2 linked regions of the Caenorhabditis elegans genome follow. The protein of the gene in region 2 interacts with the protein of the main gene of each other region in a biochemical or structural test. Each region holds a gene or a part of one and is shown on either strand. Other genes may lie near its edges.

What was found.
Region 1: the proteins of unc-34 (region 2) and mig-10 interact in far-western blotting, tested with the Caenorhabditis elegans proteins (one study listed by BioGRID).

The regions. Positions count from the first base shown.
Region 1 is NC_003281.10:8,277,578-8,282,153, forward strand, and holds the start of mig-10 (Abnormal cell migration protein 10), read left to right. Parts: upstream 1-1,530; coding exon 1,531-1,604; intron 1,605-2,067; exon of another isoform or gene 2,068-2,159; intron 2,160-2,861; exon of another isoform or gene 2,862-2,998; intron 2,999-4,531; coding exon 4,532-4,576. UniProt on the Caenorhabditis elegans protein: Required cell non-autonomously for proper development of the excretory canals and for the long-range anterior-posterior migrations of embryonic neurons CAN, ALM and HSN.
Region 2 is NC_003283.11:981,162-985,745, forward strand, and holds the start of unc-34 (WH1 domain-containing protein), read left to right. Parts: upstream 1-1,544; coding exon 1,545-1,549; intron 1,550-1,649; exon of another isoform or gene 1,650-1,745; intron 1,746-3,934; coding exon 3,935-4,314; intron 4,315-4,584.

The DNA of each region.
Region 1 (4,576 bases), on a different chromosome or scaffold from region 2:
TTTCGGGAAATTTGAACTATAGTTTTCTATGGTTTCAGCAGAAACTTCACTTTTTTTTCAAAAAAAAAAAAACTTGAAATTTCCAACTTCAGAATGTGCTCTATACCTTACTTACCTATAACTACCTTACTGCTACCAAGTTTTTCTGAAAACTTTTTTAAAAGTTCTAGTTTTGATTGTCTTGTAATCTTCTTCATTATAGTTTCCTTACCGTATCGTGCCGAGCGACTCAATTATGAATAATCCTCTTATTTTTTATGTCAACTCTTCCAGATTACGCGCGTTCCTTCCATTATTTGCGCACTCTGAACTCTCCTTCTGTTCCATTTTCTCTTCGTTTTTCTATTCAACCAAAATTTGCATATTCTATACTCAATACCATATTGATGGTCCGGTTGTCCCACGAGACTTTATCATAAAAAGGTCATTATATGCTTCTTCTGCTTCTTTTCTCGCGCATTAGTACGTTTTTGCCGCTTTCTTTCCGCGCGGAAGAGATATATGTGTCCCTCTTTGCTGTCCCCGCCTTCTTTTTTATTCTTTCTTGTTGTTGTGCGGGGGAGGGGGGTATCCCTTGACTTGTATCATCGCTTTTGCACTTTGTTAGCAACGATCCCGACAGAGGGAAGGTCAATCACTTTTTTATGCAGATGTTGTTGTTTTTTCGAGGAGACGGAAGAAAATTTGGTGTAGATTATTTAGTGGTCAATTGGGTTTTCCTTCTGTCTTAAAAACTTTAGACCACACACTCAAATTTGGCCTTGCATCACTTTGCTCTACTTTAACAACTCATAAATATCTCGGTCTTCTTATATTTTATTGAGACATTTTAAACTGTAAAAGTAGGTGTCAAATAATTTGCTATATTTGTATAGTTGAACAGTTTTTCGTTGAGCTTAAACCACTGAAATATAAGCCGTCAATGTAGAGTAGTGTGGTTCAAACATAGGAAAATACGGTATTTAGAGAGCGGAAATCTCAATTTTGTTTTTGTTATTGTTTTATTTGGATTAGCTTGACAAGTCGTGTTTTGAATTTTTTCTAGATTGCAAGGGTTCATAATTTTTTAACTTGAGAATAAAAAGATTGTTCTACATACAATACATATTTTTAAGACTAGAAAAAGTGGATTTATTGTGACAATAAACTAGAGAAATCTATGAAAAAAATTCAATAAAAGTCTGTTTCCTGCTGATTGAAAACTAGATATTCAGAATTTAGTATACAAATATTATTTGCGCAAGTTTGGGCAAATACTTTGGATATTTCTAAAAGTCGAAAAACGAGCAATTTTTGATGCTAGATTTTTTGATTTGACGAATTTTTTCAGTTTTTTTTCTTTAAAAAAGGTTTTTGACCCCTTAAAGTTTTCCTTTCCCTTCCAATTTTTTCCTTCTTTCTTATACGACTTCTCAAGTTTCAACTCTAAAACAAAGCTACATGTACATTTCCGGTAAACTTTGTGTCTCAGAAGATCCATTTTCTTTTTGTTACATTTATTCAAGATTGAATTCCAAAATTTCAGCCAATATGGACAGTTGCGAAGAGGAATGCGATCTGGAAGTTGACAGTGACGAAGAAGATCAACTTTTTGGTGAAAAGTGGTGAGTTCTTATTGTGGTAACCAAAGAAATGTCAGTGGTCCGTAAACACTTGACTCCCAAATGGTTTCTCGTAATTACCTTATGCACACTTTTCAAGTGTTTGCCGTTTGATCTTAGCCAATTTGAAACGTTTAGATGTTAAATGGAAAATGGGTAAAGTTTTTTATTTTATAGAAAAAAGGTTTGGAAAAAAATCGAGTCACTGAATAGTTTGAAGAACGGAAAAATAAAACTTTCCAAAAATCATAAAACATTTAGTGTTTCGAAAATTATAGTGTTTTTTTTGTTGGTATGTTTTGACAAAAGCTAAACCATCTTTATTGTAGTTTTGTAAAATGTTCACAAAGATGCGTTTTTTTTTCAAATTTGGCAGGCTATCTTTACATTCACATTTGGATAATTCAAATTTTTCTTATCGCTAACAAATTTTCCTATTTTTCCAATTATTCGTTTTTATAAAGCTTTGGTAGTATGTTGTGTCTATCTTTAGTGGTCATCAGTTGACCGGACCTTCACCCTCATCGAGCAAAAGATTGCTATCTCAACTTGCGTTTTTGTCTGTGACTCACAATTTCCTATAATCTCTAAGCTGGCATGTTCGTACGTCCTTTACGCCTATCTCGTGCATTCAGATAACTTGATTATATGTTCTATTTGTTGGTTTATTGGCGATGCTTCTGAATTGATTACTTTTTCTTGTCGTGTTTCGTAACACTAGTATTAGCAGTAGCTTCAGCCTAATTTCCAGTTAGGCCTTTTTTCCAATGACCTCATTTCCCGTATTCTATACACTTGATTAGTTTTCTTTGGTTACGGTCATTTATCATTCGCAGATGATTTAGTGACAATCCGGCAAAAGAAATAGAACGGAAGGCCATCCAGATGTGATTTTCTATGATCTTTTCTTGTTGGCTGTACGGTTTTCCTTGAAACCTACTGGATTTTCGTTCAGAATTTTTTGTTGGTTTTCCAAAAATATGACTTATAGCTTAGATCGGAATGTAACAAAACTTTTGAATGTGTGTTGAAGTGTTCAGAACTTTTTATTTCATGTAATTTCTCCAAAGAAACCGCAGCCTTTTTAAAAAATTATCTAAATTATTTGGTAGGATACTAGATTACTCAGCCTTACTCAGCCCTAGGAAAAATAATGTCTCCACAACGCAACTCTACTTCCCAAACGACAGACAAAACTCTTTTTTGTGCAATTTTTTCAAGATGTTCTAAAGTTATGAAGCAAAGTTAAGTTACGAATCAATATTATTCAGAAATGTTCCATTTGTGCTCTTTTTCATTTGTTGCAAAGCTCTGAACATACCAGAGCATTGATGAATAAATCATTCGCACTCTTCCTCGTCTCTTTCTGTTCATTTCAATCTGTGCGCGAGCATGTTTCATGGAACATGTGTATGAATTCAAAAGAGACACAGAGAAAAGGAACGACATTCTGAAACAATGGGTTGTCCGTTCTCTTGTCCATTCTTGTTTCTGTGTTGCACTCTATTTCTCTTTTCTTTCACTTTTCTGACTTTTATTGCTGCTCTTGGCCATGAAAGTGAAATTCTCTGAATTTTTAAAGATAGTTGCAAGTGTGGTCTAATTAAGTTTGAAAGTCGGGGAGGTCTAGGAAAAGGTAACCAAGATACTAAGTAAGTTGGAAGAAAAACGGAGAAAATTGGTGAATTTTTTTCAAGAATGACAAGAAAGAAAGAGCTACATAACTTCAAGTCCGCGAAACGATTATTTTTCAATAACCATTAGTAAAATTTCGCAATGGCGTCTAAAAGTTATGAAAGTTTGCCAAAATTGATATCATTTCTCCTGAATCTCTAAATAGATTTTTTAAAAATAATTTTGTACTGTGAAAAATAGAAAAAATAGAAAAAACAACAAAAATATACAAGTCATAGATTAAACATTAACCAGAAAATCATCTATCAAAAAGTTGAAAAAACTTTATATAGCTCACATGGATTTTCAATAACGTTTTCAAGCCCTCTCTACAAAAAACTATCAAAAAATTTCTAATTAACACCATCCAAACCCCAATTTGTTTATGAACTAACTAAAATCCTCGAAAATCCGGCAAATCCTCGTGGCTAGCCAGGTGTTCATCGGTCCGTGTTGTTGCCATGTGTGTTCCATTTCTGATGTTCATTCATCGTTTTTACCGGAGCGTGTCCTTTCCGTCAGTTTCGAATTGCTTCAAACCTTTCAGTTTTGAATCACCAGAAGAGAACAGCCTTGTCATGGTAGAGTATGTTCACTTTCTTGACCCCTTTGACTCTCTCTTTGTCCATCAAAATGCTGTCGTTCACTCTTTGTTTGGGAGCAATTCATCAAAAATGTTGGCAGATTGTTCCCTGTTCCTCTTTCTTTTCTTATGAAGTGCCATCTACTTTTCAATTCTAGAAACTTGAAATATTCTTTCAATTTTAAATGTGAATTCAAAATAGAGAAGTTGATTCAGAAAAGCCCTTTTTTCAATTTTTAAAAAACTTACATTCAATGTTTTGGTAATTTACGAAATGTTCCAAAAATATGGGCATTCTAAGTAATTTCGAGCATTGGTTCGTCCTCAGAATGTTGAAATAGAGCAATATATGCAAATAAAAAAAAAGGCAATTAAAGTATAAAAACTCATAGAAACAAAAATCTGCCACACTTGAAATTATGATAGGTGCAAACTAAGTTTTCACAACACAATTTGAATTAAAAATTCAGACAAGTTTTTTGAAAAGATTTACTATGATATTTGAGTTTTTCCCATTTGGAGAGGTTTCTAACAAAATTACTTTCTAAGAGAAACACAACAAATTTCTAAATTCCATTGATGTGTTCCATTTTTCAAATTGATCCACTTAAAGAATGCATTCTCGTTTATGTAAACATGAAAGCATTCCCAATAAATTCCATTCATTTTACAGCATTTCCCTGCTCTCAAGTCTTCTACCACTTTCCTCGTCCACACT
Region 2 (4,584 bases):
TATATTGCCCACGCAAATGTATATTGAACACACTGCATGTTTGCACTTTGTTCGTCATACAGAAAGTGAGACGACGACGACAATGAGTCATTCACTTTTTTATGACAATTCGAAATCTAATCTCTTGTGTCTCGAAGCGATTTCCTTAGAAGTTTTAATTTAAGAAACTACCTTTTATTGTTGTTTAAAAAACCATGATCCCCCCCCCGTGCAACTCGTTTCCGGAAACGGTCTCCATCAGCCTGTGTTTCGTCACTCTCACCCCTTCCCCATTTTTTGTTCCCACTCGGAAACTCTTTCTCTCTCTCGGGTTTCTCACTGTAACGATGGCCGGCACAACAGACAATGAATTTTGATATTTTTGTGTTTTCTGTTTGCACAGTTATTAGAGCATTTTCCATTTTTTTCGCGGGGTTTTCACAGTTTTTTTTGTTTGAAAATTAAAACAAAAATCATGAGTTCAATCAAAAATAATTATTTAGTTTTTCAATTATAAACGAATTTGGCAAATTTTTACAATGTTTTCCATTGATGGGCAATATTTTTTTAATGAAAAAAACCTACAAAAATACCAAAAATTTGAATCAAAAAAGTAATTTTTGATTCATTGCACACTTTTGAGCTCAAAGCAAAAACAGCACTTTTTTTTTCAAAAATTTTACCAAATTTTGAAAATAATTTTTTACGGATTTTTAGGTGTCAAAAAGTGTTTGAAAAAACCAAAATTTCTCAATTTTTGAAAAAAAATTGTTCAAAAAATATATTTTTTCGATTTTCAGAAATTTCTTTTTAAAAAAATCGATATCACACTTTGCTGAAAAAATATTTGCAAAATCTGTAAAAAAAAAATACAAAAAAACTTTTTTAAAACAAAATTTTTCCCAATTCTAGAAAAAAATCATTAATTCCGACCAACGAAAAATCGATAATTTTTCGATTTTTTTTCAAATAATTCCAAAAAAAATTTCTCGATTATCCTAAAAATCTTAAAAATCGATTTTTTTTAAATTGATTTTTTTAAAAATTTTCTAAAAAAAAATTTCCCGCTTTTTGAAAAAAATTCAAAAATTCTTTAACAAATGTTTTCTCCGATTTTCTGAAATTTTGAAAAAAAAACTAGATTTCTCGAAAAATAGCTTCAAATTTGTCCATTTTCCTCTTTTTTCCTCTTTTTAGAGATCAAAATGAACAAAATTTAATAAAAAGTTTAAACGATTTTTCCAAGGTTTTCCAGAAAATCGAAAATTCAATTTTCTGAAAAATCGATTTTTTCCCCTCCCCGAACATTTTTCCCTATAAATCTCGTTCTTTTTTTCGTCATAAAAAATGCATATTTTTCTGTTTTTTCCCTTCTCACATTCTCATTTTTCAGCCAAACCTCCACCAAAAAACTTCAAAATTTTTGCCGTTGCATTTCGAATGCGTGAAACACTGACCGATTGCTGTTGCTGCTGCTGTTGACAAGACACAAAATCTGCCGTAAAAGTGCACTTTTTTGAGCAAAAAGAGCAAAAGGAGATTAGATTGCACTTTTTTGAGCCAGAATGAGGTAATAATGACTATGGAGATGGGGAACTTTTTATGGGAAAATTTGAAAAAAAATTGAAAAAAAAAACCAAAAAATTGGCCTAAAAATTGCAAAAGTTCGGCCACGAGCTTGTGTCGATTTACGCAGCTCGTGTACTTCCCGAGGAAAAGTGTGAATTTTATGTTTTAGGCCAGTTTTTGGCGCTAAAATACTTGATTTTTGACCATTTTCGCTAAATTTTGATCGTTTTCACGTATTTTCGTTGTTTTCAGCATAAAATTATAAAAATTTTGAACAAAATACTATGAGTTATTGATAAAATCGCGAATTGAGTGTAAAAAAAATTTTCAAAAATCGATATTCTCCTCGTGGAGTACACGAGCTCCGTAAATCGACACAGAGGAGCATTTTTTTTCAGAAAAAAATTTGCATGCTCCTCGGGGAGTACACGAGTTATAAAATTTATTTGCCAATTTTTTCGTGCTGGGACCTAATAGGAATGCTCCTTTGAATGCAGACAATTGAAAAAAAACTGTTTTTAGCAGAATTCCCTTCAAAATGAAACCAACGACCAATCAGCGATTCGCACCGCCCACTTTCTAACCAATCAGTAGCTACAAGCATTCTGATTGGTTCAAAAGTGGGCGGAGCGGTTCGCTGATTGGTCGCTGTTCTCATTTTGAAGGGAATTCAGTTTGAGACTATTTTGGGGTTTTTTGAAGCGAAATTTTCATTCACGCTACTCTCCGCACGGATTTCTGGCTTCCCTCATAAATTGAAATGGAAGAGTTTTCCGAACTAGGCCATTTTGGCTCGGCCATATCTGGGGTAGATTTACGGCGCGTTGCGTGTCTCGTTGCGGCTCGATTTTAGTTGTAAAGCTAAATGTATTTGTCCGTGTGGAGTACACGACACTTTTCCACGCGTTGTCCGGCGGACGATTGTCAATGTAGCGCGAAAAATTCAATGAGCAAGGCCAGAACCCCCGTGTCTCCGCGATCTACCACCCAGCAAAAATCCATTTTTTGACTGATTCACAGCGTCTGACTGTAATGTTGACACTGAAGCTCTCTAATGTTTTTTTTGTGTGTGTGTGAGGTGATGCTGTGTGTTCCTATTTGCACAAATACCTAGTGTCCAGCAGAAGGAAGAGAACTGGATGAGCAGTGAAAAGAGCCCGTGCCAATTGCTGCCACTTATCATGTCCGGCTCGACCTCCGAGAGAGGGACGAGACTAAAATTAAATGAAATGAGAAACAATAAAAATTGAGTGGAAATTTAGAGAGTGATTGGATTTTTTTTGTAAAGTGGTGTAGTCGATTTTTTTTTATTGCTTTATTAGACTCAAATGTTTGTTTGAAAACACCGATTTTTTAAATGAAACTTCTTGAAAACTTCTCCAAAAAAAAAGTTATGACCGCTCGAAAAATGACCTAAAATTAGTTGAAATTTGAAATTTGAAAAATGCCGCAGCGGCTGGAAACAATATTTTGGAAAACTCCCGACTTTATTATACCTAAATGAAGTTGAAAATGCAAGATAATTGAATTGCATACTCAAAATTTGAAGGTGATTTCGAAAAAGTTAGTTTCCAGTCGCTGTGACAAGTCAAATTTCGAATTTCAACTAATTTTAGGTCACTTTTCAAGCCGCCATAACTTTTTTTTGAGAAGTTTCATTATAAAATTCGGTGTTTTCAAACAATTTTGAGTCTAATAAAGCAATAACAAATTTCGTCTGCAACACCACCTTTAATCAGATACCATTATTTAAAGTTTCGAAAATCTAGTAGGTTCGCATATATAAGTGGTCGGTTCTATTACATCTGAAAGAGCTCAAAATTCGCAACTTGTGCAAAAAGTTGATCCGAACCTTTTTTAAAAGATGACAAAAATCTCATTTTTTACCTTCTTCAATTTCGCCAACTTTCGAATTATCGAAAATATTCTCAAATTCCCTGAGAATGTCATATTATTAAATTGCGAGTGAAAAAAGTTACAATTCCACAAAAACCGCATTTACTATGATGATAGAAATTACTTTTTCACACTTTTTACCTCGATATTAGTCGAATTGCCAAACATTTTCGATTTCCGGCCACCGAAAAAAAACCAACTTTTTCTTGTCATTTTTGAAACAAGTATATTTTGAAAAAATGATTTTTAGTGCAATCATATTACATGTGCACGAAATTCGGAGAATGCGTAGTTTTTGTGTCGATATACGAGCTCGGTTCGATAAATCAATTAGTTTCGAGCCCGTAAATCGACACAAGCGCTACAGTAGTAATTAAAAAAATTACTGTGGTTTTCGGTACGAGATTTTTTGCGCGTCAAATATGTTGTGTAATACGCATTCTCAGAACTTAGTTTCATTTTTTCCCACCAAAAAATTCAAATTTTCCAGTAGCGAAGCATGTATCGCGACGGCAATGGCCCGAGTGATGACCTACAACGAATCGACAAAAGGATGGGTACTACTCGGCGGAAATGATGATTCAATGACAAATGTTCGCCTAATCCAAGACATTCGGCGACCCGAGTTTCGGATTGTATCCAACCGCGCTGACAGCACGAATATCTTGAATTGTAATATTTATCGAGGAATCAAATATCACAAGGCCACACCAATGTTTCATCAATGGCGTACCGAACAGCGGCGGGTGTATGGGCTGAATTTCGAGAATGAACAGGATGCGACAATGTTTTTAAGCATTGTGTTACAGGCGATTGAGACGTTGAAAGTTCATGATATGAATGGAATTAGTGATTATCAACAGATGCATCGTGCGTTTTTCAAATATAGCTTTCACACGACAAAAATCCCAAGATATAAAAAAACCTAACCAGAGATAAAAATCGAAAATAAAAAATTATCGATTTTCCGGAAAAACGAAGCATCATAACATTGTATAAAATTTATGTTTAGTTTTCATCAGAAACACATCAGAAAACGTATAATTTTTTTGCTCATTTTTCTACAATTTTTAATTTTCCGACACTACTTGAATAACCCCATAAATTATCAAAAAATCATCAAAAATATACAAAAAATAC